6 linked regions of the Xenopus tropicalis genome follow. The protein of the gene in region 1 purifies or fractionates together with the protein of each later gene. This does not show direct contact. Links are inferred from orthologs where the notes say so. Each region holds a gene or a part of one and is shown in the gene's direction. Other genes may lie near its edges.

Region 1 (5,548 bases):
TCCCCTGCCATAGACAATACTGAGAATTGCCTCTCCTAAGACACACGTAGAGACTGTTATCAGTAAATAATCAGCATTGTCTATTTTAGTAGCAATGACAAGTAGCTGCTACTAGTAGCTCTGTGTGTCTTCACCCTTAGGGTGACGACACACAGAGCTTCCAGTAGCAGCTACTTTTCATGGCTACTAATCTCCAGAAAATCCCCTGCCATAGACAATACTGAGAATTGCCACTGCTAAAACACACGTAGGGAGTAGGGACAATTATCAGTAAATCATCAGCATTGTCTATTTTAGTAGCCATACTAGTAGCAGTCATCATAGTCTACCTGTCGTACCCTGTGTGTGTGCCATACTCTGCCTGCCCTATCCTGCCTGTGTGTATGGCACACACAGGCAGTATAGGGCAGGCAGAGTATGGCACACACAGGCAGGGTAGGGCAGGCAGAGTATGGCATACACAGGAAGGGTAGGGCAGGCAGAGTATGACACACACAGGCAGCGTAGGGCAGGCAGAGTATGGCACACACAGGCAGCAAGTGGGTGTGATTTAAAAAAGGGGAGCTTCCATTATCGGCCCTCCACCATATATGACGGAAAAATTCCAGCCCTTGGTACCACAGAAGTTGGACAGCACTGCATTAGTTGATACATTTCTCAGCAGTATCTGTGCAATGTTAGCAACTCTTAACTCAGAAATTATGCTCCGCAGGGCCAAATGTAAGAAATGTAATAACTAATGTATGAAATTAGAGTAGTGTATAGTGACCTCTTCCCAGAGGATTTTTAGAGAGATGAGAAGATGAAAAATTACACTTTGAACTTCAATATTAGAAAACCGGTCAAAAATAAAAAAAAATGGCAACTGAAAAGTTTTTATATCTGGTGTACTATCTGAAAACAAATAAACTGAAAAAAGTAGATACACTGTTTACTGGTCAAAAAGGACTTTTAGGGCAAAAAAACAAAAAAAAGTAAAAAGAAATTGATGTGTGTATCAAGGTAGGTTTAAAAGAAAGATTACTAAAGCAGTCTTCTTAGGCCCCTAACAAATAAATACATTTATTTACTAATGTTTTGGGGTCCTAAATTTAATTTACTGTGGGGCCCAGTAACATGTAGTTACACTACTGGGTTGGTGTCTCCTCTCATGGGGCTATACACTTAGAGCCATCCTTAAAGCATAGCAAAAAACGAGAGCTACATAGTGCCTATATATTAGATTTATAATTTAAAAAAAAATGCACCCAGTCTCTGCCCGCAGATTTCCTTAGGAAATCTGGTGATAGAGCTGGGGGCAGGTTTAGAGGTACAGGGTCAGGACACTGCGGAACTGATATCACGCGCAAGCTGCATGTGGGTGGAGGATGGGGCAGTGGAGGAGCTCAGACTGGGGTTGGGTGGCCCCCTGAGGTGGCAGCCCCAGTGAGCCCCAGACACATCAGTCTGACACTGTACACAGTTTTAAAAACTAACAAGATGCTTTACAAGGAACAAATATCAGAACTATCCCTGCAAATTAGGGGTTTGTGGTAAGTAAACTTGACATAAATTGAAAAATCAAGAGAATGAAGCAAAAAATGTATAAGGTTTCCCCAATACTGCAGGTTTATATGAAAATACATTGAATGTATTGAGCAGCATATTTGTATGCAGTACGCTGATCAAAGGTATAGTACCATAATAATAAAGCTATTTGAAAAAAAAAAAAGTGGTGCGCTTGTGGCTAAATCAGGCGTAGGCGGAGTTAAGGTCGGTGGTCACATGACGGCGGCAGGCAGCCCTTCTGTCGCCCCCTAGATTGCGCGCAGTCGCAATACAAGTCTGTTCCAACGGCCGCTGAGCGCTGCTGTCTGGCGAGAGTGTGGGGGGAATAAACTAACAACAAAAATAATAACAAAGTGACGCATCAAGAGTCCTCTTGCGCCATCATTACCACAGGCTGGGTCGAGCTGCTAAGGGAAAGAGAAGTCGGCCGTAAACAAGGAGGGGCGGCGAAGGAGCAGACAACAGGGAGGGGAACCGGGGTGTCTTTTTTTATCCAGTGACGCCCGTCCAGACCCCCGTTTTCTGGATGCTCAAGGAGAACGCTGCGCCACTGGAGCTTCCCAGTCTGCCTTTGTTATTAGCAGAGAGACGGGGCGGCGCGCTGGCAGCTCCTGTGTGGGCCCGGGAGGGCAGAGCAGCCCCTGAATCGCACCTCCATCCGCGGCCTCCTAGCTCACCCCGGAATTAAGAGAGGTCGGGACTAGGAGTAAGCAAGTGCGTGCCTCCGGCCTAGTCCCACCCATCTCCTATGTATACACACAGCTGTCATATATGTACAGGCAGCTGTCAAGTGCAAGCGGTGTCCATGAGCCGCCCCCCTCCTTCTCTTTCTCCCAAAGGGGAAATGTGCGCCCTATGCTGCCCCGTTTAAGGGGCAACTTCTTCAACTTCCCCACCCTTATGGATCATTTGTTGCCTTAAAGCCGGCATCTGCTCATTTGGAAGGCGGTGGAGTTTATCTGGCGGGGCGGGGGAGCATAAGTGGCACCCCCACTTGAAGGACCCAGTCTCCTTACCTGGCAGGCGCCTTTCTCCCCCACCTGGCATTGTGAGGATTAGGATAATCCGCCCCCAGCTCTACAAATGCCGAGGGAAGCCGTCATGCAGGCCCCACAGTTTCAGTACGACTTCTTCAGTGAGGAGAACTCCCCCAAATGGAAGGGTCTGCTGGTTGGTGCCCTGAAAAAGGTAAGAGGGGTTACAACATGGATGTTCAACCTGTGACAAACCAGTCTATTTCTGCAACACCCAGAGGCCACAGGCTGTTTTGTTACATGGAACCTTAAAAAACTCTGCCTATAAACTTTCCAATATAATTCAGCTACACATTTTCAATGGTTTTAATGTTATTTGTAAATGTAATTGCTATTGAAAAGTAAAACTCTGCTTGACCTTTTGTATACCAAGGCCTGTCTTTTTAAACAATGTAGCAGAAGGCAGCTAATTAACAGACCTCCAAATAATCATGCTTCTGCTACATAGTATCAAGAGATGGTACAAAAATACAGTTTTCAGTTGCAATTGCATGCACAAATACATTTAAAACCAATCATTTCATTTTAATGAATTGCATGTTGGTAAGTTTCTTAAAATTTTCATTCATTAGATAGCATTGTATTTGTGGGTTTTAAGTCCCCTTTTACATAAAAGTCAAATGACTACAGCTGTCCCCTGTCACTGGCCTTATTCACACTCCACACTAATTAAATGGATATGTATAATGGAACTTAGCTGGTCCAACTAGTCAGAAATGAAATCTCGGTCCTCTTTATGGCTGTGATATTTAGATGTCTGTTAAAACCAAGGCCAGATCTGATTTTAAGTACTGCAAGGGGCAAAAGTAGGTGTCAACTATGATCCTTTCCCACAGGTTCAAGGGTTTGTTCACTTTTTTTTCAGCACAGACATTTTCAGATGCAACAAGGCTTTTTTTTTTTTTTCAATTGCCTTCTATTTATTATTTCTAATGTATATTTTTCTAAAATTGAAGTTTAAACTTTAATGGTACTGTCTCTTGTGTTTGGCAGCTCAGCAATCCAGGTGCAGACCCTGAACTGTTACATTTTGCTACATTAGTTGATACATTTATCAGCAGCAGCTGTGGAATGTTAGCTGCTTTTAATAAAACTCCAGCATTATACTCAGCAGAGTCCAAGATAAGAAATGTAGTAACTGACATATCAAATTAGAACAGGTTACAGTGTCTGTGACTCCACCCTCTCCCAGAGCTGTTTTAAAGCAATATTAGAATACCAATCACAAATACAAATTAAAAAGCAATTGAATAAAATTATTGCTGGTGTCTGGAAGGTGAACAATGCCATAACGGTCACATTACTGTACATCTTATGAAAAACTTGTATAAAAAAAAATATACACCTAATTTTTATGTTGCTAGTGTAATACTCATTACAATAAAAGGTCTGCACATGCATGCAACCCAGACCAACAGAAAGTGATCCTTGGGAAAGTTTGGCAAAATGGCATTGCAATGCTCACTGGAATAGTACCTGGGCTGCCACGTTTTTCAGCCAAGAAGAGTTCTGGCTCAGGGTCTGAGGATATCAGTTAGAATCACTGGGGAGTGTACCCCTCAATGTTTAAATTTTAGACCTCCTCTAAGTGTTTTGAAAATGAAAAATTGAGTGAGTCATGTCAGACAGGTTTAGTAAAGGGAAACTTAGTAAATTATTATTTTTTTATGAATTTATATTTTTTTTTTCTCTGCAATGTAAACATATGTCTATTTTCTAAAATCACAGGTCCAAGCCCAACAACCAAATGTATATACATGTATTTGCTAGGTTCTTATTGTCATATTTAATCAGTCTTTTATTTCTGTTCAGCCATTCTTCTGTTTGTCTTCTATTCTGTCATTTAGGCCAATTCTTGACTTTTATGGATTTGGATCAATGATTCTAGCAATCTGGTGACAGACTAGTTTTAGCAGTTGAAATGACAGACTAGAGAGCTCCTGAACAAAAAATGTGAAATAGTAAAGAAAAAAAATTCAGATATTCATTGTTTCATAGCAGTGAAGATTCTCATTTATAATACATTATGGTACCCTGAAATTGCACATTATTTATACTTCTTACATGTCTGTAAATGTGTGTATTCTTTTTGCTTATGTGTAACACATTGAAAGACATATGCTGGCAATGCTATGGGATAACTGCATTCTGCAAAAATTTCAAATGTTCCTATTTCATATGTTAACTCTCTACGTAAAGTTATTTCATACCAGAATTGGGTTGCAGTGTAAGGTAGTGGAACATCTACACTTTCCATTCCTTTCCATATATTCTAAAAAAACAGTTTAATTTTGGGAGTCATAGACTACAAAAAGTGATCTTATCCAGTGAGAAGCTTGCTACATACTGCCTGTCCTCTGGGTTTGGCTACTAGTGAGGGGGCTAATGGTTGTGCTGGTCAGAGAGCTGGCATGACATTATTCCTGATGTCACAGAACCATTGATTGGAGGCGACTGCCCTGCAGACCGTTGCACATCTTTTTGGTGCCCAGCACTCCTCCTGGTTTTTATGGTCAGTGCTGGACATTCCTTTGCTTTGGGATTTTCACCTTTAGGGTTTCATTGCTCATCTGCTTGCAGCATTAGCATATTTGCAAAATAAAATATAAAAGGAAAAGCAGGTGAACTGTAGTATACGGCAGTTTCTTTTTAGTTGGGCAGATGAGCTAGAGGTATATGAGGCAATAACTTAGAAGTTTGTAAGACCTTTATTTAAAACAATAAATTCTTTTATCTTTTTAAGTTCATTTGTTTAGATGTTTTTAATTTAAACGTTATGTCTTAGACACTCAAAGCATCTATAAGAAATAGTGCCTACTGCTTTAAACTATGTAATATGGCTGTCTGTATATGCCTGAGGATACCTGTGGCACTAAGCAACTTCTATTGACTTTTGTCTTGAGAACTTCTTTGTGCTCTTCCTTCACTGATCTTCCCTGGAAGGATAAGCACTCACTCATGTGCAA
Region 2 (4,863 bases), on another chromosome or scaffold:
CCCCCCCAAAGACTTGTGGGCGGTCCTTAAACTCCATCCTAGGGAAGAGCAACCTGAAGTTCGCCGGCATGCCAATCACTCTGACCGTCTCCACCAGCAGCCTCAACCTCATGGCCTCCGACTGCAAACAGGTGAGACACCTGGGCCCCAGCCCTCATGTTGTACAGGTCTTGTCATGTGACCTCCTACTAGCCCTGCTGAGGTTGGCCACGCTGGCTACCATTCTAGGCCTCTGGGTTCCAGCAGAGGGGGAATCTGATAATAATTGCAGCCTTTGTCTCTTCCTCCATTACAGATCATCGCCAACCACCACATGCAGTCAATATCATTTGCTTCTGGGGGAGATCCCGTAAGTGCTGGGGCTGTGTGCCTGGGTTTGTATATGGGAGGGAGGGGGAGGGTGTTTGTATATGGGAGGGGGATGAGTTTTAGCTATGATACGGCGAACCTTTGGATATCAATGGTAGGTATAATGGAACAATCTTTGTTTCATACCGTTATATAGGAGCACGTATGGCCAGCTTAATGGTGTATGAAATAGGCGGAGCTAATGTATGGATAGGAGTTGGGGGGCGGGGCTCATACAGGCTTCTCTTGTCCTGCAATCCGTTCTCTTGTTCCCCTTAGGATACAGCTGAGTATGTCGCTTATGTGGCCAAAGATCCAGTCAATCAGAGAGGTGGGTACAAGAGATATATATATATATATATATATATATATATATAGCCATTGCTGCTTGCAGTAGGAGGAGTCACCACATCTGTGCTCTCTCACAGCCTGCCATATCCTGGAGTGCCCAGAAGGCCTTGCTCAGGACGTGATCAGCACAATAGGACAGGCCTTTGAACTACGCTTCAAACAATACCTCAAAAATCCCCCCAAACTGGTCACCCCCCATGACAGGTAAGTGCCTCTCATTATTAAATAAAGGGTAAGTAAGAGGAATAGTCAGGGAATTTCACTTTTGTCTCTTCCCCTTGCGTGCTCCCGGCAGAATGGCTGGTTTTGATGGGTCGGCGTGGGATGAGGAAGAGGAGGAGCTCCCAGACCATGCCTATTACAATGATTTCCCAGGGAAAGAGCCCCCTATTGGGGGAGTAGTAGATATGCGGCTGCGAGATGGGGTAGCACCGGCAGTTCCTAGGCAAAGCCCAAATCACATGGGTGCCACCCTGGTAAGTTCATGGGCAGAGAGAGGAAGAGAGGGTGCTGTAGGAAACATGATCCGGGCTGAGCTTTTCCTTTCTCCCACAGCCCGTGGGACAGGTCTCTGGTGCCGAACAGGATTCCAGGAAGCCACAGCCGACAGTGCAAGGTAGGAGCCACTAGTGGCCAGTGTACCATCTGCCTGTGTGCCTAATGTGCAGCCCCACATTGCATGTCCTACTGGAGATGGCTGTATAGCTCCTCCCCCTGTTAGTTACTGTACTTGGACCATATACCTCCCTTTGGTTCCCCTAAATGTCCCCAAGCTACAGACCCTTCATGGGGTGGGGGTAGTTCATTACTCACACTGTCTTGTCCCCCGTAGGCAGGGAGAGATTTCCAGTCCCCTGCAGTCGGCCTCCGAATCGGCCCGATCTCTTCGATGACCCCTCCTACGTCAATGTCCAGAACCTGGAGAAGTCTCGGCAGCCTCTGCGGGCAGCAAACGGCCAGAGGGACATCTTCGACATGAGTGCGTTCCATTCGTAACCTGCATTTGTTACCCCCCCCCCCAACCTTGTGTTAATGGTACCAACTTGTCTGTGGGTCAGTCTCTCCTAAACCCAATGGGCACTAATGGTACCGACATGTCTGCGGGTCAGTCTCTCCTAGACCCAATGGGCACTAATGGTACCGACATGTCTGCGGGTCAGTCTCTCCTAGACCCAATGGGCACTAATGGTACCGACATGTCTGCGGGTCAGTCTCTCCTAGACCCAATGGGCACTAATGGTACCGACATGTCTGCGGGTCAGTCTCTCCTAGACCCAATGGGCACTAATGGTACCGACATGTCTGCGGGTCAGTCTCTCCTAGACCCAATGGGCACTAATGGTACCGACATGTCTGCGGGTCAGTCTCTCCTAGACCCAATGGGCACTAATGGTACCGACATGTCTGCGGGTCAGTCTCTCCTAGACCCAATGGGCACTAATGGTACCGACATGTCTGCGGGTCAGTCTCTCCTAGACCCAATGGGCACTAATGGTACCGACATGTCTGCGGGTCAGTCTCTCCTAGACCCAATGGGCACTAACGCTGTTGGTACCACCACTAACTTTCCCGTTGCCCCTGTAGAGCCGTTTGAGGACGCCTTGCCCTCGGCTCAGGCAGTAGTCAGTATGGAGGATCAGCTGAAGCGGGAGTCTTGGTACCACGGAAAGATGAACCGCAAGGAAGCAGAGAGGCTGCTGAAAGTGAATGGGGACTTCCTGGTGAGGGAGAGCACCACCACCCCGGGGCAGTACGTACTGACCGGCCTGCAGTGTGGGCAGCCCAAACACCTTCTGCTTGTGGACCCTGAAGGAGTGGTAAGTAGAAGGCTCAGCTTTGTGACCCCTAGGGGTGAGGGAATGGTCTGTGCCAGGGGCACTGAGGGCTGAATTGAGGAACCCCTAGGGGTGAGGGAATGGTCTGTGCCAGGGGCACTAAGGGCTGAATTGAGGGGTGTGAGGGAATGGTCTGTGCCAGGGGTACTAAGGGCTGAATTGAGGGGTGTGAGGGAATGGTCTGTGCCAGGGGTACTAAGGGCTGAATTGAGGGGTGTGAGGGAATGGTCTGTGCCAGGGGTACTAAGGGCTGAATTGAGGAACCCCTAGGTGTGAGGCAATGGTCTGTGCCAGGGGCACTAAGGGCTGAATTGAGGAACCCCTAGGTGTGAGGCAATGGTCTGTGCCAGGGGTACTAAGGGCTGAATTGAGGAACCCCTAGGTGTGAGGGAATGGTCTGTGCCAGGGGCACTAAGGGCTGAATTGAGGGGTGTGAGGGAATGGTCTGTGCCAGGGGTACTAAGGGCCGAATTGAGGGGTGTGAGGCAATGGTCTGTGCCAGGGGTACTAAGGGCTGAATTGAGGAACCCCTAGGTGTGAGGCAATGGTCTGTGCCAGGGGTACTAAGGGCTGAATTGAGGAACCCCTAGGTGTGAGGCAATGGTCTGTGCCAGGGGCACTAAGGGCTGAATTGAGGGGTGTGAGGGAATGGTCTGTGCCAGGACTCCTCCCATTTAACTCCCGCTTTGCCTCCTGCCAGGTTCGAACCAAAGACCACAGGTTTGAGAGCGTCAGTCACCTGATCAGCTATCACATGGACAATCGCTTGCCTATTATTTCTGCTGGGAGCGAGCTCTGCCTTCAGCAGCCGGTGGAGCGGAGACAGTGACCCCGCCCCTGGGATCCGCCCCTTCACACTTGAGCCTTCACCAACACTACCCCCACCACCTCCTGTCTTTCCTTTCTACGGAGCAAGGCCAGCCCTACTGTAGTAGGAGGAGCCTCCTGGGGCCCGAGCTTGGCCAAGAGTGCCCCACGTATTCTGTCGGCCAGCAGTTCACCTCGGCCGGGGCAGCATGTCTGAACTGCCCCAAGCAGCTAAGGCCATTGCCCCTGCAGACACAGTGAGCAGACAATGAGCAGATGGGCCTTACTCCTGGGATCAGACTCTTCCATGGCACTGCCAGTGTCTCCTTTCAGCACAATGCCAGGCTGATCCCTGCAAGCACACACTCCAAGCTGCATCCGGCCAATCCTCTCTAGTGCCTTTACCCTGAGTGACCCCATTCTCAGCCAGCAGGTAGATAAGTGCACATTGTGACTGGGGGGGGGGGGTGGCTCTTGTACCTACGTATGCCTAGCCCCCACCCTGGGACTGTACCACAACTGACAGAGAAGGGGGTGAAACCATTCTGTCTGTGCTTTTTCCCCATTGGTTGATTTTTACCCGACCTGTAACGTGCTTCCTCTGGGGGAGGGATGGACAAGCTTCAGTGGGGGCAGAAGGGCAAATCCGTGTGAATCCTGCAAGTTACTTCTCGTCCGTCTCCAGCTGACAATGCCCCCTACCTGCCCGGGGGCAATTGATTGGCATGTGGGGGTTATGCCAGTGCTGTGTTGCCCCCCCCACCTCTCTGTACCTTGTGCCTTAGCCAGGGCTCAGGAAGATTGCACACTCACCTGGGACCTGTAGTCTCTTCCTTCCATTGTGGGCCCCCCAGCACGAGGGGCCACAGCCAACAGTATGAACACACACACGTCAGACCTCTCCCCCCAAGCTGGGACAGTCTCAGGGGCAAGGTTGTCTCTCACGCGGGTCTCTCTGTGCAATGCTGCTCCTCTATCAATGGGCAAGCTGCAGTGTGGCCCCAGGGCCCGCCCACCAGTCACTGGGTTTAACCCTATACAGGTTATTGCTATTCTTGTGCTGGCACTTACCCCCAGTCAGTTGGACCCCTGGCACAGACAATCTGCCCTGGCAATACCCGGGCATGGGACTCGATGCTGTCTGTATTCCAGGCTTGCAGCCCTCCAGCTGGAGTTATGCTATTGGCTGGCTCACAGGGGGCGGGGCCATAGCACAACATTTACAGGGGGAGGCAAGTCTGAAGCCTGTATTGGACAATGCTGGTCATATTAAAGGGGAAATTTTCCTATAACAACTATATTTTTAATAGAGGGAGGGCCCTGTGTAGGTTTGGGTAACCGCCCCTTCATCATACATTCTTATTTCTCTACCAAAAAACAATCAACTCAGTCCTTTGTTTGGGGCCCAAACCTCACTCCCAGGCTTATTCTGGGGCCCAACCTAAACAAGGGGGGGGCGGGGACAATGTCACAGCTGCCATCTTGTTTCATTTTCCCAGGGTTCCTTTGTGTTGCCCTGTGT
Region 3 (4,863 bases), on another chromosome or scaffold:
ATCTTATAACTCACAATATTAGGTATAAATTGTTATTAATTATGTTCTCTCGCTCTGACGGCTGGACCAAATTTGTTTAAGTAGTCCTCAAATTTAATGCACATTACACACTAGTAGATATATTTCCAAACATATATTGCAGCACTGTAAAACCGCTTAATCCACTGGATTTTTTAAAAAGCAGTTAAGAAAGCTGTAATTGCTGTTTAGTTTTTCTCCATGTAATTGGTATATGTAACATCATACTAGTTGCACATCATCGTTTTTGCATGTAGAGTTGATATTTTACTCTGTGTAAAGTGAAAAGGGAAGAGCCATTATTTCACGTAAATATGCAGTCTAACTAATTTTACTATACAATAAATTACAATGCATGTTTTACATAATACTTCGCTGTTATTTCACCCATTGTCTGTTGCAAAATATCAGAGGACAGTAGAAAAGCTGCATGATTAGTATCTGACCTTACACATACATACTGGATTACACAGATTGAAAGAAAAACCATGCTAGTCTCTCACTCTGTTTATAATATAAAAGGGAAAATATTTTTTTGTTTCTGAACAAAAAACTAAATTTAAAAACTGCAAATAAAAAATTAAGACCAATTGCAAATTGTCTCAGAAAAACACTCTCTACATTAGGGATCCACAAGCTTTTTTTTACTTGTGAGCTACACTCAGGTGTAAAAAGTGTTGGTGAGCCAACACTTTGGGGATACCAAATGAGGAGCAGTAGGTCTCCTTGGTTTAAAATTGTGTTTCTGTGCTTCCACAACACGCCTCCAAGCCAGAAATTAAAAAACTGGCACCTACTTTGAGGCCACTGGGAGCAACATCAAAGGGGGTGGTGAGCAACCTGTTGCTCACAAGACACTGGTTGGAGAACTGCTCTATATCATACTAAAAGTAAATTTAAAGGCCACTCTTCATGTCTCTTCTGTCTGTCTCTACTTAAATTAACTGCATTTTGCATTTTAGGCGGAACGGAGCTGTGACACACATAAAAATACAGAATACTGGGGATTATTATGACTTGTATGGAGGGGAAAAGTTTGCAACATTGGCTGAACTTGTTCAGTATTATATGGAACACCATGGGCAACTGAAAGAAAAGAATGGTGATGTTATTGAACTGAAATATCCACTAAACTGTGCAGACCCAACATCTGAGAGGTGAGAGAGCTCTGTTTTTCACCTTGACACATGTTTTGACTTTTCTTTCATGTATTAACCTTCAAAGTCCTTCTCAAATTCTTTGTATTACCTTATGAATTAGTCTCCAGTTTAAGAATATGCACTTGAGAAGTGGATCTCCTGAAACGGTAATATTGATAAATCTATTGATCCACTTGTAGAGCATAATAGCCTAGCCTGTTAAAAGCCTTTATTGATAAAGATGATTTACTTTTTGGAAGTCTTTGTTGTTATGTTAATTTACATTATATGGCTGCAGGTGGTTCCATGGGCATCTTTCAGGGAAAGAAGCAGAGAAGCTGTTGACAGAGAAAGGTAAACATGGAAGCTTTCTGGTGCGGGAAAGCCAAAGCCACCCTGGAGATTTTGTCCTTTCGGTACGGACAGGTGATGACAAAGCAGAAAGCAATGATGGAAAGTCCAAGGTGACACATGTTATGATACGATGCCAGGTACACATCCTATTTGAAGGGCTTATATTTATGTTGTCCTAATTAATGCACAACAATTCCACCTTCTTACTAAAGACTTAAATAGTGTGACTAATGTTAAAGATTAATTAAAGATCAATATGTTATTTGATATCTTGAGTACTTAAATGCAACCTCAATTAATTTCTGTGCTGGCCTAGTTGGATATTTGATATTTCCCCCCTTATTATTGTTAGTTAAAATGCTGTATTGTTCAACTGGCAGATTTTTTACATTTTGTCTGCTGCATAGTGATGCTGTCCACGACAGCTATTTGCGCATGCGCAGGGAGAGGGCAATGGGGGCAGCCTCGGGGCACCCAGATAAGAAATCCGGCGCTGGAGGTATACACACTTCTCTTGTACAGTTCTGCAGAGCAAGCTGGCAATTTCATTAATATTTATAATTATATTACAAATGTTAAGGTGTAAAAATATCTGGCCATAAACCTTCATCTAGAGAGACTGGTCAAGCCTGCTTTAGAGAAAGAAAATGTGCAACTAAAGTCATTCATTTGCTGAATGCTGACACACTCAAGTAATATTTTACTCTGTTACAAATTAGGTTAGGGAACCATAGATATGAATCTTGGCAGTATTGCAGGGATATTCATCCTTTTGACTGCATTATTATGATTTAAGTTTTAGTATAGCAAAGCCATTTAATTTCATCTTGGAATCAAGCCCTTTTTTCCTGTTCACAGTAAATGTGAACAGTTTCTGTTGAAGAAAAACTAATGTGAAATAGGCGCGATTTTGTTATATATACAATATATATAATTATGTGTGTGTCAATGTCTGGCCTAATTATCCCTTTAATATTACATGACTTTAGATAACTGTAAACTAAGGGTGACCATTTTTTTCGTATGCCACTTGCTTATTTGCATATGGATTTGGTTAATTTTTTTGATGTGTATTTAGTCTTCAGATGAATCCTAAATCTGTGGATTTGGTTCATTCCTTATATTTATAGTAAATAGAAAACCATATTGTTGCACGTTTGTTTTTTTTCCTCCACAAGCAAATTTGCACATTGATAAATTGTGACTGGAGCAAATAGAGAGGGGGAAAAAAATCTCTTTCAACTTCTGTGACTGCTGAAGATACAGTTCTCATTAATTGTGGCATATCTGCTGGTTTTAGGTGGCAGGACAATTATTGATAATCTCACTCCTGGTATTAATTATATCATTGTAAATAGTGCTTAGTGATGTCATCAGTTATAATCACTGCTTAGTGATATAATTAGTCGCATGACTCACAGAAATTTGTGTATTATAAATAATAATGTAAATACTGTTCCCCCTGTAGTAAAATATGAGGACATTAGAAGTCCCCTCAGAATTCCATAATCTGTATAAAAGCACTCTGCCTTTAGCCTTGTGCTTTTATATGGTCATGGATCTCCTCAGTAACTTATAATTTCCTTATACTTTACAATACCTGTACCGGGTACATTATTTACTATATAATTTTGCTTTTTGTTTCATAAGATAAAAAAAAAAAGCTTGATGTCATATGTCACATGACTTATATAAACCTGCTTCATATAAAAAATAACACAATCTGAGAATGTTAGATGTCACTTGGGGGAGTTCCATGACCTTTATATAAGCATTCATTCTTTACCGTCTTGCCTTTTATATGGTCATGGACCTCCTCTGTGCTATATCATCCTGATATTTTGCAGCAGGGCCCTACATTCTTCCCTTATGGGAACTGGAAGGTAATTTTGTAGCCTTCCCTCTTTATGGTGGCATAAATTGCTGTCAACCGTATTTATGTCCATGTCATAGGCTTCCATGTGGGTATGCCTGGTCGAAGTTGTATGTTAAACTAGTTCCCATTCAAGGGGTTAATATTAGCCACATTCTGTTGGTGGTTTTAGCACAAATTATTACTACACTAGATTGGGCTTTTGAAATAATTCATAACCAGGAGACACAAACTTAGGGGCTGATTTACTTACCCACGAACGGGTCGAATGGAGTCCGATTGCGTTTTTTTCGTAATGATCGGTACTTTGCGATTTTTTCGGATTCTTTACGAATTTTTCGGATCCAATACGATTTTTGCGTAAAAACGCGAGTTTTCCTATCCATTACGAAAGTTGCGTAAAAAGTTGCGCATTTTGCGTAGCGTTAAAACTTACGCGAAAAGTTGCGCATTTTTCGTAGCGTTAAGTTATAACGCTACGAAAAATGCGCAACTTTTCGCGTAAGTTTTAACGCTACGAAAAATGCGCAACTTTTTATGCAACTTTCGGAATGGATACGAAAAACTCGCATTTTTACGCAAAAATCGTATTGGTAACGAAAAATTCGTACAGAATCCGAAAAAATCGCAAAACATACGAAAAAGTCGCAAAATGTTCGTTTTCAAGTCGGAACTTTTCCAATTCGGGTCGGATTCGTGGGTTAGTAAATCAGCCCCTTAGTATATTGAATTATTGTATTATGCAGATACCTTGCATTTTTTTTCTGCTTTCTCCAGGATTTAAAATATGATGTTGGAGGGGGAGAGAAATTTGACTCTCTGACAGATCTCGTGGAACATTATAAAAAAAATCCTATGGTTGAGACTTTAGGAACTGTACTGCAGCTAAAACAGGTAAGACTAATTAAACATGACAATTAACCCCTTGTACCTATTTACCCATATGCTAAGAATTTAGCTTTTCTTTTAGCCACTGAACACAACGCGGATTAATGCTGCAGAAATTGAAAGCCGGGTAAAGGAACTTAGCAAGCCAGCAGAGACTGCAGATAAATTTAAGCAAGGATTCTGGGAAGAATTTGAGGTACTTTTATAGTATTGTGTCCAATTTGTTACCCTCTGTTTGGCCTGTTATTTGTGTGGTTTTTTTTATATTCATTTGCAGTTACGGTTTGATGCTTAACATTAGAATGCTCCCCATCAGTTTCCTTTAATGATAATTAAAGTCAATATGCTATGGAGTTAATTTCTCCAAACAAACACAATCATAGATTGTTAGGACACAAAGATGAAAATAAGAGGGGCCATTGATTTATGTGTATAGAGAAGTAGATTCTGCATCATTTTTGTTCCATTGCTGCAGTAATTACATTTTGAAAGATTACTGATAAAGCATTTAATTTTACAGACTTTAAAAGCACTAAGGATGTTTTTTTTTATTAATGTTTGTCTTTGTAACGTGCATATAATTTAATTTTT
Region 4 (4,863 bases), on another chromosome or scaffold:
GGTTAATATTTTGTACAGAAGTCTTTGTTTGCAATTACAGAGGTCAAACGTTTCCTGTAGTTCTTGACCCAAAGCACACAGCCAGGATAACCAAGGAGTGGCTCCGTAAGAGGCATATCAAGGTTCTGGAGTGGCCTAGCCAGTCTCCAGACCTAAATCCAATAGAAAATCTAGAGGAGATCTTTGTGGAGGAGTGGGCCAAAATCCCTGTTGCAGTGTGTGCAAACCTGGTCAAGAACTACAGGAAACGTTTGGCCTCTGTAATTGCAAACAAAGGCTTCTGTACCAAATATTAACACTGATTTTCTCAGATGTTCAAATACTTATGTGCAGCAGTGCAATACAAATACATTCTTTAAAAATCATACAATGTGATTTCCTGAATATTTTTTTTAAATGCTGTCTCTCAGTGGGAATGCACCTACAATGTGAACTTCAGACCCCTCCATGATTTTTAAGTGGGAGAACTTGCAGAATCGCAGGGTGTTCAGTAGAGCTGGGCGGTATGACCAAAAATCTATATCGCAGTATTTTTCAAAATTATATCGGTGTCACTGTATTTTTTTTTTCATGCATGATTAGGTGTTAACCCCATTTCCTAATAAATTAGAGAATAATTACTGCAGTATTGAAAATCAGAGTCAGGCAAGCGAAGGATCGGCAACAGAAAGTCGTAAGGTAAATCAGGCAGGCTTAGTTTCCCAGGCAAAGCCGCAGACAACATAGCACAGGAGGAGGCGTTTGATAGCTTTAAATACCCCCCCACGCATACGCAGAACCGGCGCCGTCAGCGCATCACGGACGTGCACGCTTTGACGTGTGTGCACTTTGACACCCCGGTATTGCGGTATCTGAAAAATTAATATAGTTTTAAAAAATAAAAACTTCGGTATTAAACGGTATATCGCCCAGCCCTAGTGTTCAGATACTTATGTTCTTCACTGTATACTCTTTGTCTGACCTCGCCTTTAGTGTATGGTCCGTTTTAATCGAGGTCTAGGTGTGAAAATGCTACCTGAAAGTCTTAGTGGAATCTGTGCAGAGCCCCCCTCCAATAAATTTCCTATGATGGCAGATATAAAAACTAATACCAGCTAAGGAACACACTTGGGCATCTCATATAAGGGTGTTCAGTGAGCTTGAAAAAATCTGAGGTTATGTCTATTGCAGGACATCAAAGAATCAGTAGGTTGAAATGTGCAGTGCCTTCCTGTGACAGTAATATTTTCATGGTGACTCAACAGTAGCAAAATACAATGTATATTTGCCGGACATGCTAGGTTCTTTGTGGTTGAGTAGGCCATATTTAACACCTCTGTACTTTGTATCTTATATTTAGCCACAAATGTAAACATTCTTCTTTGGTGCAGTTTCACTGCAAATTGTCTTGCCTGGAAGATATTTTATTTTACTAATGTTTCAAATGTTAGAATGGGCACAGCCAGACAGATACTGTTTGAGAAATAACACTTAACAGATCTCTAAAGGACCAATATCGGCAGTTAGAATTGACCCGTGTATGGCTACCTTAAAGTAACACCAAAAAATGAAAGTGTATAAAAGTAACTAAAATATAATGTGCTGCTGCCCTGCACTGGTAAAAGTTGTGTGTTTACTTCAGAAAGTCTACTATAATTTATATAAATAAGCTGCTATGTAGCCATGGAGGCAGCCATTCAAAGGAGAAAAAGCACAGGCACTTAGTAGATAACAGATAAAACACCATTGTATTCTACAGAACTTATCTGTTATCTGCTATGTAACCTGTGCCTTTTCTCCTTTTTTCCAGCTTGAATGGCTGCCTCTGTGGCTACACAGCAGCTTATTATATAAATTATAGTAGTGTTACTGTAACAAACACACCAGTTTTACCAGTACAGTGCATTATATTTTTATTACTTTAAAGCTCTTTCATTTTTTGGTGTTACTGTTCCTTTAAGGTTTGGGTCAGGTATTCCCACTTTTTTCTATCAACCTTATAAATACATGCATTCCAGATCATATATCATCATATAAGTGCTGATTTCTAGTACATGTTGTGATCTTTTTTTGTTTTGTTTTTTCCTCCTTCTGCAGGAATGATCCAGTCCCGATTCAGAATAGGTGACCAAGAGTTTGATTCCTTACCATCTCTTTTGGAATTTTATAAGATCCATTACCTGGACACTACAACTTTAATAGAACCAGTTTCCAAGTCTAAACAATCTGGTGTAATCCAAAGACAAGAAGAAGTTGAATACGTGCGAGCTCTCTTTGACTTTAATGGCAATGATGATGAAGATCTTCCATTTAAGAAAGGAGACATCCTGAGAATTCGAGATAAGCCCGAGGAGCAGTGGTGGAATGCTGAGGACAACGATGGAAGACGGGGCATGATACCTGTGCCTTACGTCGAGAAGTACAGGCCTCCCTCTTCAGCAGGGTCAGCCCTGATTGGAGGTAACCAGGAAAACTCGCACCCGCAACCACTGGGTGGGCCGGAGCCAGGGCCCTATGCCCAGCCCAGCGTCAACACTCCGCTGCCTAACCTTCAGAATGGGCCCATTTTTGCCAGGGTTATCCAGAAGCGCGTCCCTAATGCCTACGACAAGACAGCCTTGGCTTTGGAGGTATATAATGGGCACAACATGAAAGGAAAATTCTTCCAAAGGCATTTTCCTTTACAATACACAAGCTTAATTAGACCAAAGGGCAGTATATGCCAATGCAGGGAGTAAAATCTCCTATGCAAGGCTGAAGTAGATAACACACTTAATTCTTTAATCTGTAAATGCCAGTATCTTTAGGATGTTATGACCCTTCTCTATGTATTTTAAGCCCATGCTTTTTTAAGGTAAGGCATTTTTAAATATATTTTTTTAAATTATACTGCCATATTTAAAGGCAAGTAAATCTTAGACAGTAGCTCCTGTGTTAGTTATTAAACACTGTTTTAAATGTATCCCCATATGTAATTAATGGCACAAAGCTTGCCCAGGTGCAGTAATCAGTAGCAACCAAGAGGAAATGCTTTCTGCTTATTTGCTGTAGGTGCCTAGCCCTGTAACAAACGTTGCACCTTTTATTACATAACCATTGAGTATTAAGATTATTGCCAGTGAAGTTTCATTTCCACCATTGGTTCTTAGAGTATTTTCTCACACTTTACTGCTGAGCTTCAAGTTGGACTGATATAACCCCCTCCCAGCAGCTGATCAGCAGAACAATAGGAAGGGAGCAGCTCCCAGGAGATATCAGAATAGCACTCAATAGTAAGGAATCCAAGTCCAGCTTGGGACTCCTCCAGTTACATGGGAGTAGGAAAAGCAATAGGTTACCTGAAAGCAGTTCTGATGTGTAGCGCTGGCTCCTTCTGAAAGCTCAGACTCGGGCACAATGCACTGAGATGGCGCCTACACACCAATATTACAACTTAAAAAATGTTTGTTGGTTCAACAATAACTTTTTAAATGATAGTGAATTATTTGCTATGTAAACAGTGTAATTTACACATAAAAATCATGACAGAATCCCTGCAGTGAACAGCTAAAATATTGAACATCAGTAGGCCTGAACATGAAACCACCTAAAACTGTTGTCATATGCTAAAGCTTGCCCAGATTTGTTCAGGAATATTAGTTGATTTTAACCATACTTCCCAGCCATCTAGACATGTATGCCAGATTTGGAGGCCCTTCTGACATATTGTCCTGCAATTCTATCAAATCCAAAATGATCAGCAGATGAGGCAATGAAAAAGAACTGCAGTTCAGATTCTCTTCCTGCAGTTTCAATCAATTGGGTTATCCACATCCACCTATTTGGCCAACATGTATCAGGTGGAAAGTGTAGAGCAGTGATTTTCAGACCTAATTGTTTTAAACCCCACTTTGGGGTGCAACATTCCTTTAAAGTTTTAGTACGTGAGCTCATGAAAAGTCAGACATATGAAAAAAAAAATGATGACCGTTTCAGGCGTTGTTTCAAAAATATCTACAACAGCAAATATGTGCTAAGTGGAAATAACCTCAATCTAAATTATGCTCAAGTTGCGGTTCCAGAAGAGAAGAATATAGTCATTATACCCAAATCTAGCCTTAAGTGGCATTGGGGCTTCGCCTTCCTCCCTAGTTAAGACCCTGAGCCTCACTGTACACCAGTTCTTTATCAGCCAATGAATTGCCACCTTAAAAATTGGTCACGCATGAAAATGTCAATCTTATGGTCCTTTAAGCCATCTGGCTGTTTAGTACAACAAAACTATTACAGGTATGGGATCCCTTATCTGGAAACCCATTATCCAGAAAGTTCAAAATTACAGAAAGCCCATCTCCCATAGACTCCATTATAAGCAAATAATTCTAATTTTTAAAAATGCTTTCCTTTTTCTCTGTAATAATAAAACAGTACCTTGTACTTGATACCAACTGAGATATAATTAATCCTTATTGGAGGCAAAACACTCCTATTGGATTCATTCAATATTTAAATGTTTTTAGTAGACTTAAGTTATGGAGATCCAAATTACAGAAAGATCCCTTATCCGGAAAACCCTAGGTCCCAAGCATTCTGGATAACAGGTCCCAAACCTATATATGTATAGAACTCCCTCCCTTCCCTGTGTGACTTTTGTTCTCCTGCCTTTCTTTCCCAATATGGGATGCACTTTTATTTTATCCTGAGCGGTCCCAGGGGGGACTGAAATATTGACTTAATGGAGAAAAAAAGGTTTATTAAGACCCATAAGTGCTCCTATATATAGTGGAAGAGAGATTATATATGATTATATAAATTCTGGTTAGGGAAAACCAGATAGTGTTTTCATGCTCTCTTTCTGCTCCACAAAAGGCACATGGCCATCTAGTCTAGACAATCCCTGGCTCT
Region 5 (5,174 bases), on another chromosome or scaffold:
CAGTTATTGTTTTCTTTCCTTTACATTATTCATAATAAGTTCAATGGTTTATAGGCAGCAGTAACCTCAAACTCCTACACAGAAATTATTCTTCCTTGCTGTTGAAGGAATTTTGTTTTTATAAATATGCATAAATGTGTGTGTTCATGGCTGAAAAGGATTTTAAAACTGGTTAAGGTATTTATTGCATTGTTTATATAGTGTGTGTATGTGTGTGTTTTTCCCATTGCACAAAATATTTAAGTAGACCATATTTATTTGAAGGATAAAGACCTCGAGTGTTTATTACTTTTATATGAACAAATTAAAATCTGTTTTCCTTAAATTTGCTCCCCTTGTAGCCCCTGGATTTAGTGGGTCAGGTGTCCCAAATGGCTACCCCCGCTACCCATCCTTTGGTGAAGCATCCTCGCACCCATCAAGCAGACATCCCTCTGTGGGTAGCACACGCCTTCCTTCAGTTGGTGAAGAATCTACACACCCTTTACTTGTCCCTGAAGACCATGTAAGTGCGAGGTTAATATATCCCTCCCTTCTAAAGTAGTATTGTAGTTATAGCTTAATTACATTGCTATTTATTGCAATATAGGTATGAATTTATCACTTTTTTAATAAAATATTCTAAAACTGTATTTGTTTTTGTTCTTGGTACAGGTAAATTTATTTCATTTTATTATTTATCTAATTTACAGTTTTGATATGTTATATGTACTAAATTACAGCGCCTTTAAAGAGTTTAATCATCATTCAATTTAATCCCTGCCCAAGCAGATCTTACAGTTTATTAAATTTCCACAACACACTAGGGTCAATTTCATGAAGCCAATTTTTTTTTCCTTTTTTAATGTTGGAGGAAATATCCAGTTGATGATATGATGCAGACACAGGGAGATCATATAGTACAAGCTACTTGCAGCTAGTTTCAATATCAGACTTAGGGTTGCCACCTTTTCTAGAAAAATATACCAAAATGGTGCCTGACAGTACAGTATCTCAATAAAAATTTTTGCCTGTGTTTCAGCCCCCTTATGTGATTACCCCTGTATAATTAAGGTGTATGGCCATTGGTCTATGTATGTCACAGACACTCACTAATGGAAAGACAGGCAAGTCAGTTTAGTTCTGGAGGATGTTTTTCAAAGCTGCATGCCTATGGCTACAAACAGCCATTAGTGTTTAGTCATTTAAGTTGAAACCAGTTATACTGCAAGACCATATTTCTGACCACCGTAACCCTTTGTGTCACATAACGTAAAATCTACATTTTGTGAATAAAAGTACCTATGTGCCACGTATTGTAGATTCTATGTTCTGCTGTACTTTTTGAGTCTGGGAGTGGAGCAGTGGCTTTAAAAGCCACTCCTTCGCTTTCCACTTCCCATTTTTCAGAGAAAATATAATCGTCTGCAGTGGTTTTCTTTCTTTCTTGATGGAAAGCACACTTGAATAGGGCTCTCTGTTAGTCTGTTTTTTAACATATAATCTTAGGATACAAACTTTTTGTAAATGCAGGGATTAAAAGGTGTGAACAACACAGTGGATTAAATTTTTAAACAATACAGGGGGTTTACAGCCTGAATCTGAGGTTTTAACCATGCAGGGGGCCAGTACTGATACCATTTAAAGCTTACACCAAGGTAAGCCATCAAAGCAGCCAGACAGGTGGGGGGCCACACAGAGGGGGGCCGCGGGCCACCAGTTGGACAGCACTGTTCTAAAGGATAGTGCAATTCGTAGTTTTTTTTTTTTTTTAATGACGGCAACATTGCAGATAAAGATAACTGTAATTAGTTACCTGTGTGTTCGTTTTACATTTTAATGTTTTCCTTTTTGTTTAGGTGCATACATATGTTAACACTTCTGGAGTACAGGAGGATCAGAAACAGAGGCCAAATATTCCACCTGCTCAGGAGGTTTGTGTTTCCAACCTTGAAGTAATCCATGGCCACAGTGAACCTGCTGTTCCTGAGAGAGATCCACAGGTTATTCTTGAGCCTGAAGGAGTGAAGTTTGTTTTAGGACCAACACCTGTTCAGAGACAGTTAATGGAGAAAAAGAAACTGGAGAAACTTGAGCAAAACCAAGCTAGTGTAAACAATGGTGAAAGCAGTTGTCCAAATAACACAGAAGGGGACACTGGTTATGACAGCGATGAACGCAGAGAAACTCCTGGCAATAAAATGGTGTATGAGAATTTAAATGGATTATCCATTTCATCATCTGGGGTGCGAAGGGGACGAGTGGTACCGCCCATTCCCACCGATATCCAAAATGTAAATAACTCTGCACAGAGGAGAACTGCCTTGATAAACTATGAAAACTTACCATCCCTTCCTCCAGTCTGGGAAACTCGGAAACCCAGCAGAGAGGAAGATGAATCACTAGGACCAAAGACTCCATCCTTAAATGGGTTTCATAGTAACTTAGACCCAATGCATAATTACGTGAACACTGAAAATGTAACTGTTCCATTAAGTGCTCACAAAGTAGAGTTTTCTAGACGTCGGGACTGCACACCAACAGTCTTCAATTTTGATATAAGGCGTCCAAGTCTGGAACAAAGGCAGCTTAATTACATACAGGTTGATTTGGAAGGTGGCAGTGACTCTGATAACCCCCAGACTCCAAAAACGCCGACCACTCCACTCCCACAAACTCCTACGAGGCGTACGGAGCTATATGCTGTGATAGATATTGAAAGGACTGCTGCCATGTCAAACTTACAAAAAGCACTGCCAAGAGATGATGGTACGTCTAGAAAGACAAGGCATAACAGTACTGACCTACCCATGTGAGCCTCAAGCACGCTACTTCATTTTGCACCTTTGTGATATTTCTTTTAGAAAATCCACAAAAAAAACCCATCTTATACACTAACACTTTTATAGACTAAATTTTACATGTGCTTTTGTCTAAAGGGAATTGATGTAGAGCAGGTACTCCTAAAATAATTTTCACACTACAGTAGTCATATGTACTGTATAGCTGCATAGCTGCATTTTTGTGCCTATTTAATTGAATAGACTTGCAGTGATATGCCAGTTTTAAGTTTATCAACATAAAAGACACTTGCCTTTAATATTTTACATCTAGACTGTTGCCATTTAAAGCCGCAGATGCATTTTAATTTTGGGGATGTTTCCAGTATGAATGTGTTAAATATATATACAGTATGTATTTTTATACTAATTGTTTTTTTAATAATGCCAGGAATTTGCCAAATATTTCTCACCAGCATTTTGCATTATGGACATTAGTACAAGTGTACATTTGCTTTTGATCATGAAATAAAAAGTGCTGTATTACAGCCGTGCAACATGCTGCATTCAGACAAGCATGTTGCTTTTTGCACGCAAAGCACTATTCAAGCTATGTTCCCAAAATGTCCTCCTGCATTAAAAAGTCCTTTGCAGATATTTGGTTGCAAAGGATTCTAGTTTTTACATGTTTTTGTGGGGGGGAGGGAATATGTGAGTTACATTATGCCTGGGTTGCATTTATTAAATGCAGATATTTACAGTTGTATAAAGGCCAAACAATATTTCTCTTTGTTTATCCCATTGTATTATATTGTAAGATTACTGTATGTTCTACTTTAAACTACAAAATGTTTAATTTTTTCCTACATAAAAGTATATAAATAGCAACTTTTGTATAAAGGTAGTGTAGGCAATATTTGAGTTTCCTTTTTTTAATAATGAAATAGGCAATGCACATTGCCAAATATTATGACAACTTTTCTAAAGTCTCTTAGGTTAATATCTGCACTAAACATTCCATGATACTGTGTTACTATTGAGCCCTGCAGTAGTGACAGTTCATATGCAACACAATGTAGAGCAGTGGGTTGCTGGAAACATTGCACTGCAGGGCTCAGCAAAAGAGATACTATGCAGAAACATTATCTTCATTAAAAAATGTTCTTGATTTGAACACTAGCCTTTAATTTAATGTGTTTGGTTTGCATTTTCAGATATTGACATTGCTTACCAGATGTTCATTTAAAATACTCATATATATATATTTTGATATTGACAATATTGTCACTTCATTGGTGCCAACATCATTTTTGTAGCATGGCAATAAAATACTGATTTACACAAGGCTTTCTAATATTGTGTTTTGTACTTAATGTTACTAGTATAATTTTGCCATATATTAAACAGAAACCAAAGAATGGATTTACACTGTGATTATTTATATGCACTGTAAATTGCTTTTAGGCTAACTGCATAATTTTCAAAATGTGTATTATGTATATTGAAAATACCCCTGCATTCACTATAAAAAGCTCTTTGGACCATATGATGAATTATTATTGCCATCTAGTGCTCCTCTGAAAACAGTAGATATGACCCCCAGGTGATGAGTATTCAGCAGTTAAACATTTTTACTGCATTCAGATGGCTGACATTCAGGGCATATATTTCAAAATATGAATTTATAGCTTAATATGTAAAAACTCTCACCCATGTTCTAATTATTCCAATGGGTATTTATCAATTGGTGAACTCTTAACTTTTACACCGCTTCTGAAAATCCCATAGGAATGAGTACAACATGAGTTTTTATTTATTAAGCTCTGCCCCTTAGTCAAAGCTTTACTTGACCATACACAGGCACAAGCCTTATCATTAATCATTCTGATGAACGTACGTTTGTCCACCAAAACAGGGTTTTGGGTTTTTTTTTTATACTTTATTTTCATTTTTCAAATATAAACATAAATCAGGGTGACATGCATAGAGAAAAAAAAGGGGAACAGAAGCAAAAGCCTGTTAGTTACCGTGTTATGCATATTCACAACATTGTTTAGTACTGTGTTGCTTTACTGTATTGAGAACCATTTAGTAAATAGTGTTTCCTGTTTATATTTACAAGAAAGGGGGAAGAGAGGGGGAGAACGGTTAGGTGGGTCAGAGCAACTTAGTGATGATAGGTTCTTGTATATTTTTTTAATTCACTTTCTGTGGCAACAGGGTGTGACTCCTGTCTTCAGCACTTCTACAGATGGATGCCATGCTGAGTTTCTTTAAGCATTGTCTATAAATAGTGTTTACTTAATTTTAATACTTTTATTAACATGCCTATAACAATCCTACACTAATGAATAGATGACAGTGGCATTTTTTTTTCTTGCAGAGCTGTGGTCGGCTCTGTGTTCACCCTTTGAT
Region 6 (4,863 bases), on another chromosome or scaffold:
AGATTCCAGCCCTTCCCTCCTTCTTATAAAGCTCCGGTGCCTTTCTAGCTGCCCAACACTGACATGAATTAGCTCATAAAATGCCAGTCTGTGGGCACCGTGCCAGCTGCCACCTCACAGAGCAGCAACACAAAGTGCCATATGGTGGGGGGCATTTTATAACTGCAGTACGAAGCTGCTGCTGGTACAAATGTGCCCCTATAATTCTGCCACGTGAATTTGGCTTATTTACCCCAACTCTATGGGGCAGATTTATTAATCCACGGACGGTCCGAAGGCGTCTGTATGCGTTTTTTCATAATGATCGGTATTTTTGCGACTTTTTCGTATATTTTCCTGAAACTTTTTCATCGCCGTCGCGAAAAAATCGGATTGGTTTTTCCGCCGTATACTATCGCTCAATACGAAAAAAACCGCGACAGCGATGAAAAAGTCGCGACAAATAAGAAAAATCGCGACGGCGATGAAAAAGTTGCAAAATTTTCGTTTCCAATACGATTTTTTTCCCTTTCGGGATTCGGATTCGTGGATTAGTAAATCTGCCCCTATGAGTATCCATACTGAATATGGGACTTGATAAAACCAAAATAATTCATCCTTAATGGGGAGGAGGGAACGGACCTTAATGGGGAGGAGGGAACGGACCTTAATGGGGAGGAGGGAACGGACCTTAATGGGGAGGAGGGAACGGACCTTAATGGGGAGGAGGGAACGGACCTTTATGGGGAGGAGGGAACGGACCTTAATGGGGAGGAGGGAACGGACCTTAATGGGGAGGAGGGAACGGACCTTAATGGGGAGGAGGGAACGGACCTTAATGGGGAGGAGGGAACGGACCTTAATGAATTTGGCCAGAGTTTTCTAAAGAAATAAGGAAGGTTAATTTATTAAAGACATTTGCATGAACATTATAGAAATCTAACCCTAAAATAATTAATTTACCAGAGACTTGATCATATCTTAGAGATATATATATTATATAATGCATACATTTTGTCAATAAAAATATTTCCTACCATTGTGGTTTCTCGTTGGCTTATTTGCAGATCAGTAAGTGACTCCATATGTATCAGCAGGCCCCCCAGGTTATTGAGAGTCGGGGGGCTACATTCAGCTGCAGGAGGGTATTGGACCTGGGAGAGGCAGCCCGGCCCTGGGGCCAAAAGAGAGAGGCGCCATTTGGCATGTGGGATTAGGCAGATGCATGGGTCTCTGGGGCAGAGAGAGAAGTCTATAGGGGGCAGAAATCAGCTGCAGGGGGCAGAATGTGAGAATGAGACCATTGGTTGGGCCAGAGCTGCAGGTGTAGGAGAGAGGGTTCTGTGTCACCTGGTAGAGAATAGCGAGGAGAGACTTTATTGGGCCCCATCAGAACATTGTCACTTAACCTAATTTAAAAAGTTCTAAAGAACCACGCTGCAGAATAAAAAGGATTCAGAACCCAGTATTTCTAAAGTGGATCTTGCTGAGTAAAGAGTGGAACTCTCTGGCTTATTCATTGGGCAGGACTGTGCAGAGAAATGATGCACTGTATGTATTATTGGTTTGTGAGCCTCGTAATGATATGATTGGGAATGAGGGGGGACTCTTGCTGCTGACTCAGATGATTGACCCATACTGTGATGAGGAATGATTGGGCTTGTTGGGTGGCTCATGTTGGGGGTTTTGCTAGAGGAATGATTGGGCTTGTTTAGTGGCTCTTGTTGGGGGGTTTTGCTAGAGGAATGATTGGGCTTGTTGGGTGGCTCATGTTGGGGGTTTCTGACAGAGGAATGATTGGGCTTGTTGGGTGGCTCATGTTGGGGGTATTTGCTAGAGGAATGATTGGGCTTGTTGGGTGGCTCATGTTGGGGGTTTCTGACAGAGGAATGATTGGGCTTGTTGGGTGGCTCATGTTGGGGGTGTTTGCTAGAGGAATGATTGGGCTTGTTGGGTGGCTCATGTTGGGGGTGTTTGCTAGAGGAATGATTGGGCTTGTTGGGTGGCTCATGTTGGGGGTGTTTGCTAGAGGAATGATTGGGCTTGTTGGGTGGCTCATGTTGGGGGTGTTTGCTAGAGGAATGATTGGGCTTGTTGGGTGGCTCATGTTGGGGGTGTTTGCTAGAGGAATGATTGGGCTTGTTGGGTGGCTCATGTTGGGGGTTTTGCTAGAGGAATGATTGGGCTTGTTTAGTGGCTCATATTGGGGGTTTCTGACAGAGGAATGATTGGGCTTGTTGGGTGGCTCATGTTGGGGGTGTTTGCTAGAGGAATGATTGGGCTTGTTGGGTGGCTCATGTTGGGGGGTTTTCCTAGAGGAATGATTGGGCTTGTTTGGTGGCTCATGTTGGGGGTGTTTGCTAGAGGAATGATTGGGCTTGTTGGGTGGCTCATGTTGGGGGTGTTTGCTAGAGGAATGATTGGGCTTGTTTGGTGGCTCATGTTGGGGGGTTTTGCTAGAGGAATGATTGGGCTTGTTGGGTGGCTCATGTTGGGGGGTTTTCCTAGAGGAATGATTGGGCTTGTTTGGTGGCTCATGTTGGGGGGTTTTGCTAGAGGAATGATTGGGCTTGTTGGGTGGCTCATGTTGGGGGATTTTGCTGGAGGAATGATTGGGCTTGTTGGGTGGCTCATGTTGGGGGTTTTGCTAGAGGAATGATTGGGCTTGCTGGGTGGCTCATGTTGGGGGGGTTTGCTAGAGGAATGATTGGGCTTGCTGGGTGGCTCATGTTGGGGGATTTTGCTAGAGGAATGATTGGGCTTGTTGGGTGGCTCATGTTGGGGGTTTCTGACAGAGGAATGATTGGGCTTGTTTGGTGGCTCATGTTGGGGGTGTCTGGAAGATGATTGAGGAATGGTAGGAAGCCTACAGCATACATCTAGTGCTCTATATAGTGCCCCGGGCCCCCCTGTTTATCTGGGCATTGCCATAAACAAGCAGCTAAGAAATGAGCAGGGCACACAGTGTGATGAACTGTTCTGATCTTTCCTATTGGCTCAGTTAAACCTCTTCTTTTATTGAAGGAATTTTGAGGAGCGCGACCAAGTGGAGGCCCAGAGATACGCCTTGTGCAAGTACGACTTTGTGGCCCGGAACTCAAACGAACTCTCTGTCCTTAAAGATGATGTCTTGGAGGTAATGTGTGGCCACTGTATGGCTTGTTGTTTGCTTCCTAGTGGCATTAAAGGGGAACTCCACCCAAAAGCTGTTTTATTTGTATAGAGAACATCCTCCTAATAAAAAGGCATTTCTGCCAATTGCTTTGCACAGCAGTGTCTGTCCCTTGCTTGCGGAGTTTATCCGCACCCCGAGAATCTGCCTCATGTAGGAGGAGCCTAACAGCTACTGATTTTTCCTCTTGGGTGGAGCCAGAAAAATCCCAAGGGGGGAATCTGTTGTTCTGCTTTTAGTGAAGCCCCCAAATCCTGTAGAGTAAAGTGCAAACATGTGACTCTTGTGTGACTTCCCCAGGTCCTCGATGATAAGAAGCAGTGGTGGAAAGTCCGGAGCTCGAGTGGGGCAGTCGGTTTTGTGCCAAACAATATTTTGGTAGCAATGAAGCCACAAGATCAGTCAGCAAAGCCAATGGAAGCCGCGTACACGCACACAATCCAGGTACCATCTAGCGCCTGGGTCAGTACCACCTGATATGGTGCCCCCGGCACACACACAGCCCAGCCTCTAATGTCACACGTTGATTAATCTGCCCCCATTATATTGCCAAGCTGTGTGTTAGTGCTGATTGTGTCTGTCTGTAGCTTCTGATGCCAAAGGAGGAGTTTGAGATCTTCCAGGTACCACTTCCCCGAGTGCCCCCTCTGATCATTCACTTCTACCTTTGCACTGACTCAAAGTTGCTTTTCCTTTAGCCTCCCTATTCCTTCTGTGTGTTCTCCTTAATGGTACATACCTGTATATCTGTCTGTGTGCGTGCCTGTCCCTTCCCAGAATTCCCTGTGTGTGCATGCCTGTCCCTTCCCAGAATTCCCTGTGTGCTGTGTTTGCATGTCTGTCCCTTCCCAGAATTCCCTGTGTGCCTCTTTTGTTCGTTCATTTGGGCCTTTGGGGGGGCCTGGGGCCACACCTTTCTCAGAGAGGATGTGGCTTTCAATCCCCCTGGGTTGCTGGGGCTTTTGGTTTCCCAGGTGGGAGTGTCTTGGCCTGTGGATGTTATGGAGACATTGGGTGTGTAAGAGCAATATGGCGGCTCTCCTTTGGGTGCCAGTTGTGTTATATCTGACTCTCTCTCTCCCCCCCACCCACAGCGATTACTGGGAGAACTGTCTCAGGTAATTCCTTCTTCCCTACTGCGCTCACCTTTATAAAGCTTGGGGGGGTAAAACCATTATCATTGAAATATACTTATTTAGCAGTATGTGCGCTTGGGTAATCCTAAATAGGAAACCGCCATTTTAAGAATTAAGGGCCTCCCCCTGGGATCATAGGATTCACAGTGCACACAAACAAGCCAAGGCACACATACATGCTAGGCCCCATCAGCCAATGAATGGGCAGTTCTGCCTTTTGCTCTCACACTACTTCCTGTTACAGTTAGAGCTGCATCACTTCCTGTCAGCTGATCTCTGAGGGAGCACACAGCCCATCACTTCCTGTCAGCTGATCTCTGAGGGAGCACACAGCCCATCACTTCCTGTCAGCTGATCTCTGAGGGAGCACACAGCCCATTACAAAATGGCGGCTCAAGGGAAAGGGCAATATTTACTGATATATATATTCCAGTTTGGGGTGATTCTTTAATAGGCAACTTAACATAATATAAACTGTCTGTTGGCTAAGCATTCATTCTGGGGGTATAGTTTTCCTTTAATTTTGTTTCCATGCTACCCCTAAGGTTCTGGTATAAATGCAGTACGTGTGTCAGT

The links.
Region 2: the proteins of sos1 (region 1) and shc1 purify together in Homo sapiens (affinity purification with western blotting; 14 studies listed by BioGRID and IntAct, with this or other methods). This does not show direct contact. The link is inferred for Xenopus tropicalis from reciprocal best matches to the Homo sapiens genes SOS1 and SHC1.
Region 3: the proteins of sos1 (region 1) and ptpn11 purify together in Homo sapiens (affinity purification with western blotting; 4 studies listed by BioGRID and IntAct, with this or other methods). This does not show direct contact. The link is inferred for Xenopus tropicalis from reciprocal best matches to the Homo sapiens genes SOS1 and PTPN11.
Region 4: the proteins of sos1 (region 1) and crk purify together in Homo sapiens (affinity purification with mass spectrometry; 6 studies listed by BioGRID and IntAct, with this or other methods). This does not show direct contact. The link is inferred for Xenopus tropicalis from reciprocal best matches to the Homo sapiens genes SOS1 and CRK.
Region 5: the proteins of sos1 (region 1) and frs2 purify together in Homo sapiens (affinity purification with western blotting; 5 studies listed by BioGRID). This does not show direct contact. The link is inferred for Xenopus tropicalis from reciprocal best matches to the Homo sapiens genes SOS1 and FRS2.
Region 6: the proteins of sos1 (region 1) and eps8 purify together in Homo sapiens (affinity purification with western blotting; 5 studies listed by BioGRID and IntAct, with this or other methods). This does not show direct contact. The link is inferred for Xenopus tropicalis from reciprocal best matches to the Homo sapiens genes SOS1 and EPS8.

Annotation. Positions count from the first base shown.
Region 1 is NC_030681.2:42,908,723-42,914,270, forward strand, and holds the start of sos1 (son of sevenless homolog 1), read left to right. Parts: upstream 1-1,767; 5' UTR 1,768-2,631; coding exon 2,632-2,736; intron 2,737-5,548.
Region 2 is NC_030684.2:145,090,357-145,095,219, forward strand, and holds part of shc1 (SHC-transforming protein 1), read left to right. Parts: intron 1-11; coding exon 12-131; intron 132-295; coding exon 296-349; intron 350-627; coding exon 628-679; intron 680-776; coding exon 777-903; intron 904-994; coding exon 995-1,175; intron 1,176-1,254; coding exon 1,255-1,315; intron 1,316-1,531; coding exon 1,532-1,678; intron 1,679-2,283; coding exon 2,284-2,516; intron 2,517-3,234; coding exon 3,235-3,363; 3' UTR 3,364-4,863. UniProt on the Homo sapiens protein: Signaling adapter that couples activated growth factor receptors to signaling pathways. Participates in a signaling cascade initiated by activated KIT and KITLG/SCF.
Region 3 is NC_030677.2:163,817,396-163,822,258, forward strand, and holds part of ptpn11 (tyrosine-protein phosphatase non-receptor type 11), read left to right. Parts: intron 1-980; coding exon 981-1,175; intron 1,176-1,455; coding exon 1,456-1,648; intron 1,649-4,161; coding exon 4,162-4,278; intron 4,279-4,354; coding exon 4,355-4,468; intron 4,469-4,863. UniProt on the Homo sapiens protein: Acts downstream of various receptor and cytoplasmic protein tyrosine kinases to participate in the signal transduction from the cell surface to the nucleus. Positively regulates MAPK signal transduction pathway. Dephosphorylates GAB1, ARHGAP35 and EGFR.
Region 4 is NC_030678.2:46,094,758-46,099,620, reverse strand, and holds part of crk (adapter molecule crk), read left to right. Parts: intron 1-2,076; coding exon 2,077-2,609; intron 2,610-4,863. UniProt on the Homo sapiens protein: Involved in cell branching and adhesion mediated by BCAR1-CRK-RAPGEF1 signaling and activation of RAP1.
Region 5 is NC_030679.2:59,097,279-59,102,452, forward strand, and holds the end of frs2 (fibroblast growth factor receptor substrate 2), read left to right. Parts: intron 1-341; coding exon 342-505; intron 506-1,838; coding exon 1,839-2,795; 3' UTR 2,796-4,177; downstream 4,178-5,174. UniProt on the Homo sapiens protein: Adapter protein that links activated FGR and NGF receptors to downstream signaling pathways.
Region 6 is NC_030679.2:157,666-162,528, reverse strand, and holds part of eps8 (epidermal growth factor receptor kinase substrate 8), read left to right. Parts: intron 1-3,003; coding exon 3,004-3,115; intron 3,116-3,451; coding exon 3,452-3,595; intron 3,596-4,863. UniProt on the Homo sapiens protein: Signaling adapter that controls various cellular protrusions by regulating actin cytoskeleton dynamics and architecture. Depending on its association with other signal transducers, can regulate different processes.